2 linked regions of the Alligator mississippiensis genome follow. The protein of the gene in region 1 interacts with the protein of each later gene in a pairwise test. Links are inferred from orthologs where the notes say so. Each region holds a gene or a part of one and is shown in the gene's direction. Other genes may lie near its edges.

Region 1 (3,742 bases):
GACAGGATGCTGTTTGCGCTTGTTTAATCACATCAACGGCAGTGCATCTTTAACACCACAAAGGCAGCTTAAGGAAACCCATCCAACAACCCCAAAGCACCAAGGCTTTCAATACTCCATCGGACCAAGGCTAGGACAAGAAGACCCCGACCAATTTTCAGTCTCCTCGAGTACAAGTGCCACACGAGCTTATCTACCCCCCACCTTTCTCCCACGCAGGAAGAATATATAGCAGCTCATTAAATGGGTTTAACTCAGCTGAGGGGCCAGCCCGGGACACCCACCACGCAGTCGGTGAGCGTGCCCCATTGCTCAAAGTGGCTGCGAAGGCTCTCGTCTGTCGTCTCAAAGCTCAGACCGCCGATGAAGAGCTTGCGCAGCTGCTCGGGCTCCTTGGGAGACTAGAGAGGAATAGCAGGGAGTGAGCGGGAAACGAGACCTCGCAGGACTGGGGGCTAAGCTCCCGCCCGCAGGTACCCCAAACCCGCCCCCCCGCCCCTGCCGAGCCACGCGGGAGCCCCGGGAGAAAGGAAGCTCCGGCGCATGCGCAGTCGCCACGGCGCGCCGAGCACAAAGGCGCCCGCCCGCATGGCCCCGCGCGCCGCGCATGCGTCGTCCGCCCCGCCGGCCACGCAAGCCCACCCCCACTTGCGCAAGCGCAAAAACCGCTCGGCGCCCTCCGCCACGCAGGCGCAAACCCCAACGGGCGGGAGGACCCCGGCGGACGAGGAGGCCCCGACGCACCTCGGCCCTGGACATGGCGGCGGCAGCAGCGGCGATGCGGGCTCCTTGAGGTGCCGGCTCCGAAAGGGGCCGAGCAACGCCGGCGCCACCGCCTCACCCCGCCGGCGAGTTCCCATTGGGCGGCAGCCGCTGCGCCCCGCCCCCCTCACCGCCTCCTATTGGCGGAATCCCAGAGGCTGCAGGCTCTCATTGGTGGAAGAGCACCCGCGCCCTCCCCCATTGGCCAGGACAGAAACGATCCCGCCCCCGATCATGGCGACCATGCGCAGAGCCCCGCCCCTTCCCCCACCCCCCGCGCTCACCTTCTTTCCCGCTCGCGGCTCCATCCGCTCCATCGCGGGTCGCCCTGCTCCGCGCCGCCGCCGCTACTACCTCACGCCGGGGTCCGGGCACAGGTGGGAGCGGGGAGGCGAGGCCGCGCGGACTCCACCAGGGCGAGAAGCCGCGCCGCGGTTCAGACGCGCTCTAAGAAGAGGCCGGGGGCGGGCTCGCGCACGCGCAGCAGCGCGCGGGGCTCGCCCTACTGCGCAGGCGTAGCGGTGGGGGGGGCGGCACCTAGGAGGGAGGGGTCTGGGCGCTCATGCGCGGTGCGAGGCTCGCCGGCGCATGCGCGCTCGCGGGCTGTTTTGGCGGGCGGCGGGCGTTGCGCAGGAGCGGAGTGGAGAGGCAGGGGTGCCGGATCCGCTGCATCCCGAGGTACCCGGGCGGCGGCGCGGTCCGGGGGCTCGTTGTATGCAGTGAACGGGGGAGTGCGGGCGGGCTTGACAGACACGCGCGTGGGCCAATGGCGCGGCGCGTTGGCTCCGGGGGGGCGGGGCGGAGGCGCCGTTGCCTGAGGAGAGCGAGAGCAAGGCGCGGGGCCGTGAGGGACGGGCAGCTCCGCCAATGGGGCGGCGGCTTCGGCACCGGGGAGGGGCGGGGCCCCGCCGGCGGACGGGCGACGGCGGCGCCCAATGGCCGTGCCGCTTTTCTCCGCGCGCGCCTGGAACGCGGCCGGATTGGCGGGAGCGCCAGCGGCGCCGGCCAATCGGCGGCCGAGGTGGGGGGGGCTAAGCGCCCGCCCCGCTGCCCGTTACCGAGTTACCCCCCCCACCTTAGAATGGATCCAGGCGTTCGATCCTCATTGTGACGTCGGGGGGGTGGGGGTTACCGCACCGACCACGTGGGTGCGGGGGAGGGGGGGCTGGGACCCTGTTTGGACCCGCATACCCACGAGGGACCCCCCCCCCCCCACCATGGCCCTAGGTCCCCGCTTTAATGCGTCCGAGGAGCGGGGGTTGGCTTCCGGTTTGGGGCTGGGGCTGAGTGTCGTTCTCGTGCCAATCTCCAGGGCTGGTCCTCGCGGCTGGATCCCCACCCCTTTCGGGAGAGCGGAGCAAACACCTCGCTTGTATGCCGCTAACGGGGGTGGGGGCTGCTCTTCGTAGGCCAGGGGGAACTTTGGCCCACCTCCCTCCCCCCCCTCCCCAGCCGGTTTTGCAGTGGGGAGTAAGGGTTGGGCACGTGGGGCGATGCCTCACGAGGGCAGCGGGTGGGAACCCCGCCGCGTGTCGCAGCTGGAAATCATGTGCGCGAAGGCTTTGGGCGGCTTTGGGGGTCCTTGGCACCACGGCTGTAGCACGGATGGGAAAGGCTCCGATTGGGAGACCTTTTCCTTGTATTGAGGCAGCGGGGGGGGCGGCGCTGGGGAGGAAGGGAGGTCCTGCTTGGCTTGCACAATAGCATGGGGGCCGTCCACGGTGGAAGCTTTTCTGGCCTTCAAGCCAGAGCGAACACCAGTTGCTTCCCCGCCTCCCTCACACGAGGCCTCGGAGCATGGGCGCTGCTGGTGGAAGCTGCGGCCATCTCGTACCCTGGCTGCAGCGCGCGGCCCCTTGCAGCAGATCAGTGCGCTTTGCAAATGGAGCCAGGGAGGTGAGACCACAGCTCCTCGGCCAACAACGAGCCATGAGCTTTCCTTCCAGCTGGACCAGACGGCCAGGTACTGACGAGGGGCCTGGGCTTAGCCTTGGAGGCCTCCTCTGGTCCCAGAGCACGGCGAGGCGAGATTGCTGCGTTTTTTTAACGCTTCCCACCCCCAGGGGATGTCTAGTCTGCAAATGTGGCTGTGGCTGCGGCCTCTTACCCAGCTGCCCCCTACAACGCTCCTGTGTATGTGACTTCTCTTTGTAATGGTTCCAGTGGAAAGAAGCACTTGGGTCCCAGATGCGTTGCAGTGGCTAACAAGGGGAGCCTTGTGTTTAAACAGAGCGACTTGGAGAGCCGAGAAGGGGAACGGGCTCCGTGCAGGAGCAGACTGGGTTTCTGCCCCCCGGAGGCCATAGCAGCGGAGTCCCCCTGCCTGCGCCTCAGCCTCGTGCTTCTCTAGCAAGCCCCGGCCTGAGCTTTAACAATGGGCGGCGGTAACTTCAGCCCGACCGGCAGCGGGGTTTGCCTTTAGGCTCCGCTGGGATGAACGGGGAGCTCCTGCTGCTGAGCCATTGTCTGCCTGGCTAGACTGCTGCAGCAGGGCTCGGCTAGCCTTGCAGTATCTTAGTAACCAGACGGGCTGGCAACTGCAGCTGTGTCAGACTGGGAGGGGCTGGTGCTGCGTGGAGACCCCGGCAGGCTCCTGCTGCCTCTTTCTCCCAAATTAACCAGGGCTGGTGTGTGCGTGCATCTGCTGTGGTCCTGGGTAGTTGGGGTGGCATCAATGGGAGGTGATGGATCAGTTGAGGCGAAACCAAAGGGCCTCAGCTAGGTGAACTCTTGCATTCCTGGGAGGCTCCCTGCACTGTCCTGCCTGTGCGTTGGTCTGTGGCCTGGCCCAGAGGGGTTTCGAGCCGTGGCTGGGGTTTTCCATGCCATCGGAGAACACATGGGACAAAACAGATGAGTCTTGGGAAAGATGCCAGAGGCTAAATCCTGCCCTGTGCAGAAGACCCAGCGCTCTGGGCTTCAGCCATGTCTGCTGCCACGGAGCAGGATTGACCCCCACGTTTTGGTGGCCTCTCCAAGC
Region 2 (3,742 bases), on another chromosome or scaffold:
CGCCTCCTCCTCGATTTCCCGCAGCCACGCCAAATGCTTGTGCTCGGCATTGCCCAGGAACTCCGACAGCTTCTGGCTGCAGAAGTCCAGCAGGTTGGTGGGACCCACCATCTCCACCATGGCTCTGCCTACAACGGGCGGGCGAGGAGGAAAGAGCCGATCGCTAGGCAAGGCGCCTTTCGTAGGGTACCATCGAACCCTGGGGCAGACAGCTACGCCCCCACCATCCCTTTGGGAGACAGAAGGCTATCCCCAAGCTAGAGAGGGGATGAAAGGCACAGGGAAGGCGTCCCATAGGGAAGGAGCAGGCATCAGACCCAACCAGTCTAGCTCCCCCATCAGCACCCATCGCTCTGCTCCAGCAGCAGGAGCCCCGCTGCCAGCTCCTTCCCACACCCAGGGGTGCTGGAACCCAGGAGCCCCTCCTCCCTGGGCTTCCCCAGCCCTGCAGGGAGACAGGGCAGCCAGAGGACCCAGGCGTCCTGTCCCACCCCCGCCGCAGGTGAGAGACGCCCCCGGCCAGAGAACACGCAGAGGCAGCCAGGCCTCGCCCCCGCCACACAGAAGCTCCCTCCCACGCCCCACCCTTGGTGAAGTGCCCGTGACGACCATAGAGGCGTCAGCTAGACAGGCACCCTCCTAACCGGAACCGCCTGCCATACCCACAGCGATGCCCAGCGCAAAAAGCAAGAGCCAATGGCTGGCTTCCCTCCCCGAGGTCATCCGACCTTGCGCCAATCAGGGAGCGCTGTAAAGGAGCGGCCCGCCCTTGGCTAGCGCTCTTGTCCATCAACCGCGGCCCGTTTAGCTACAGGCTACGGAGGCGGCGCGGCTCTGTCTAGCTGCCCCGCCTATCAGCTCTCTCCTGGCCTTGGTTTGGTCCCTCCTCCTTCTCCTCCTACCTGCCCTGCGGAAGCTCCTCCCAGACTCAGTCCTCCAGGGTACAAGAGTCCGCTGGCTAGCAGGGCCTGTTGTGTAGCTCGGCACTGCTTTTTTCCTTCCTTTTCCTCTCTCCCCGCCCCTTTCCTTTGTGGCGTAAGCGCGTGGTGGCCCAATGAGCGCGGCGGGGGGATGAGCTCGATTCAAAAAATTTAGGCGGGCGCCGGCGGGGCTGGAAGTGGGGGGGCCGCGTTCGAGGCCGCGGCGGGTGTGTTCTGACCGTTGGTGGCTCGGGCCATTGCAGGCGGCGCGGCCATGGCGGGCACGGCGCACCTCGTGCAGACCTGCAGTCGGCGGTTGGCCGAGTTCCTGCGCGAGGTGGACGAGACGGACCTGGTGTGGCTGGCCGAGATCCGCGATGAGGCGGCCCGCATGTTCGGCAGGTGCGGGGCGGCCCCTCCTCCCAGCCGTCGTCTGGCTCGGCCGTGGGGGCAGCGAGGGGGGCGGCCACGCATGTCCAACCCCTACCTGGGTCTTCTCCAGCCCTGGCCGGCGGGAGGCCCTGGTTGGGGCGGCTGCGGTCGCTACCTTTCCGGCCCTCGGGGTCCTCTGCCTCCTTTCTGCAGGGGGAGCGTGGGCCGAGCCCCCTAGGGCAGCGGGAGGCTGCTGAGGACGGAAGAGCTGGTTTCTCGGGACACGCGTGAGGGGTCCTGGGTAGGGTACGTGAAGGGATGGTTCCAGCTGGGCCACAGATACGGGAATTGGGCAAGGGCAGGAAGGCGGCAGTGCCCCAGGGTCTTTCCGGCCCCTCCTTTCTGCCTAGGAGGGGTGAGCAGGAGGTTGTGGGGCTTGGTGGGGCCCCTCGGCTGCATCAGCAAGTTGAAGGGCCCGTGCCCTCTGCTGTGCCCCCTTCCCCAGCCCAGTGCTTGTTGTTATCACGCCTGCCCTGTTCTTCTGTCCCTGCTAAGGCTTCAGCTGCCCCAAGGACTCCCCCAGCAACAAGGGGGTGCTAACTGTTTCCGTGTGGGGCTGCGCCTCTGATCCTCTTGTGCATTAGCCAGGGTTGCTCAAGGCAGGATCTGCCCTGAAGAGCTTGACCCTGCCACACCTGGCTTGCTCACTCGCTTGTGGTCCTGGAAAAAAGGCTCAGGAGCAATATCTTGAAGCAACAAAAGAATACAAAGTGCAGCAACCCCCACCCCAGCGCATTACTGTTCACTTTTTCAGTGGTCTGAGGATACATTTGCAAATGCTTGCCAAGTACAGTGACATCCCTGGGAGGAAGTCACTGGGAAAGTGCAGGTATTTCCTATAATAACAGTACTAATCATACATGTGTCTACTGAGCACGGAGTAAGTCAGCCATTAATGCCTCAAAGGCAAAGAGCAAGGTATTATCCCCTGGCCTGTTGCTAGTTGGGGCTTTCATCACAGTTCCTGGGGCAACTTGCAATAACAGGTGGAAGCGAGGGGCAGGGGTTGATAACAGATATGCCAAGGGTAGGTCAGTCAGGCTGAGATTTGACCCTCTGATCCAGTCATGCTTTCTGGTGCCAGGTGAACAGCTGGCTTTAAGCACAGGGTGCACACAGCTCAAGGATGTCAAAAGCCCTTCATTTCAAAAGAGAAAACCTATCGTTATTTTACCACAACTGATAGACATAGCTAGCATGTATATTTATTATTCATAACCGCAGGACTCGGTGCTTGCAGGAAAAAAAGACATTTTCTCTAAAGCTCTCTAGGTGAGAAGTTTAAAGCTTCTTGGTGACTTGAGAACTGTATTCTGACTAGTCCTGATGTAGTACAGGAGGTTTTTGTTTATCCTCTGAAATTTAAGGTCCCAACTTAATAAGACCATCATGCACATGCTTTGTGTGGGACTACTGGCACCTCAGTTTCCTTACCATCTCTGCAGCCCTAGCAGAAGTGAGCCTTGTGGTCTCCCATGACATTGCGTTTATCTTCTCATTAGTTGGAGAGCTGCCTTTCAGAGACAGGCTGGCATAACAAGCAAGTAAAGTGCCCAGGTAATGTTACTACTTTTCCTGTTTCATCTGTTAAGCAGTGACTGTAATGATGAGCCAGAGTTGATGCCAAAAACTCCATCACAGAAAAATCGTCGCAGGAAGAAGCGTATTTCTCTTGTTCAGGATGAGAATGAAGATCCAACCAGGAAGAGGTAGGAAAGTCCCTGGAGTACCTTATATTTGAAGATGTTAAAACTATTTTTGATTGGGATCTTATCCCAGTTTTTGCATTTAAAAAGTTGTTGCTTTTCAGGCCTTAAGTAGAAAATTTGTGAAGAAATCCCTCTAAGAGGGAGGATGGCTTTAATATGATCTATACATTTTGCTGTTTAAGCACATGCTGCATAGAAGAAATGTTATTTTAGGTGACAGGTGAAGGAATTAAGCAGCTACTGCTGCTCTTTTAGAATCTCTTTGTCTCTCTCCATGTGTGTGTAGGCTAGTGGTTCTCAAGCTTTTTAGCCTCAAGGCACCCTGGCTGCAAACCACTGAGTTAGATTCTAGCTCATGCCAGGTGAGTGTGAGGAGGCAGCCCCTTACCCTCTGTGCCCTGTTTTTTCCATCATTTGCCCCCTCCCAGTGCCTGCTCTGTATCTGAGAGGGCAAGTGCTGCTTCTCCAGGAGCTTGAATACAAACAGCCAGAGCCACATGCACCCATAGCCTCTCCCACCTGCTTTGGGAGTATGAGAGGAGTGGGGGATGCTGGGGAACAGACCAGACCAAAAAGTGCAGCCCTGCAGCTCCACGGCTTCCCATTCACTTGCGCGTGCACTACAACAAACTGCTGGGAGCACAGGATAGCACAGAAGCAGCTGTGGAAACTGCTTGTCTG

The links.
Region 2: the proteins of CBX5 (region 1) and INCENP interact in binary tests that used the Homo sapiens proteins (3 or more experiments, as listed by UniProt). The link is inferred for Alligator mississippiensis from reciprocal best matches to the Homo sapiens genes CBX5 and INCENP.

What each region holds. Positions count from the first base shown.
Region 1 is NC_081838.1:7,979,834-7,983,575, forward strand, and holds the start of CBX5 (chromobox protein homolog 5), read left to right. Parts: upstream 1-1,334; 5' UTR 1,335-1,350; coding exon 1,351-1,440; intron 1,441-3,742. Other genes in the region: HNRNPA1 (heterogeneous nuclear ribonucleoprotein A1), read right to left, coding at 285-401, 1,047-1,079. UniProt on the Homo sapiens protein: Component of heterochromatin that recognizes and binds histone H3 tails methylated at 'Lys-9' (H3K9me), leading to epigenetic repression. In contrast, it is excluded from chromatin when 'Tyr-41' of histone H3 is phosphorylated (H3Y41ph).
Region 2 is NC_081825.1:179,238,663-179,242,404, forward strand, and holds the start of INCENP (inner centromere protein), read left to right. Parts: upstream 1-1,102; 5' UTR 1,103-1,194; coding exon 1,195-1,322; intron 1,323-2,944; coding exon 2,945-3,061; intron 3,062-3,742. Other genes in the region: inner centromere protein, read right to left, coding at 1-128, 663-723. UniProt on the Homo sapiens protein: Component of the chromosomal passenger complex (CPC), a complex that acts as a key regulator of mitosis.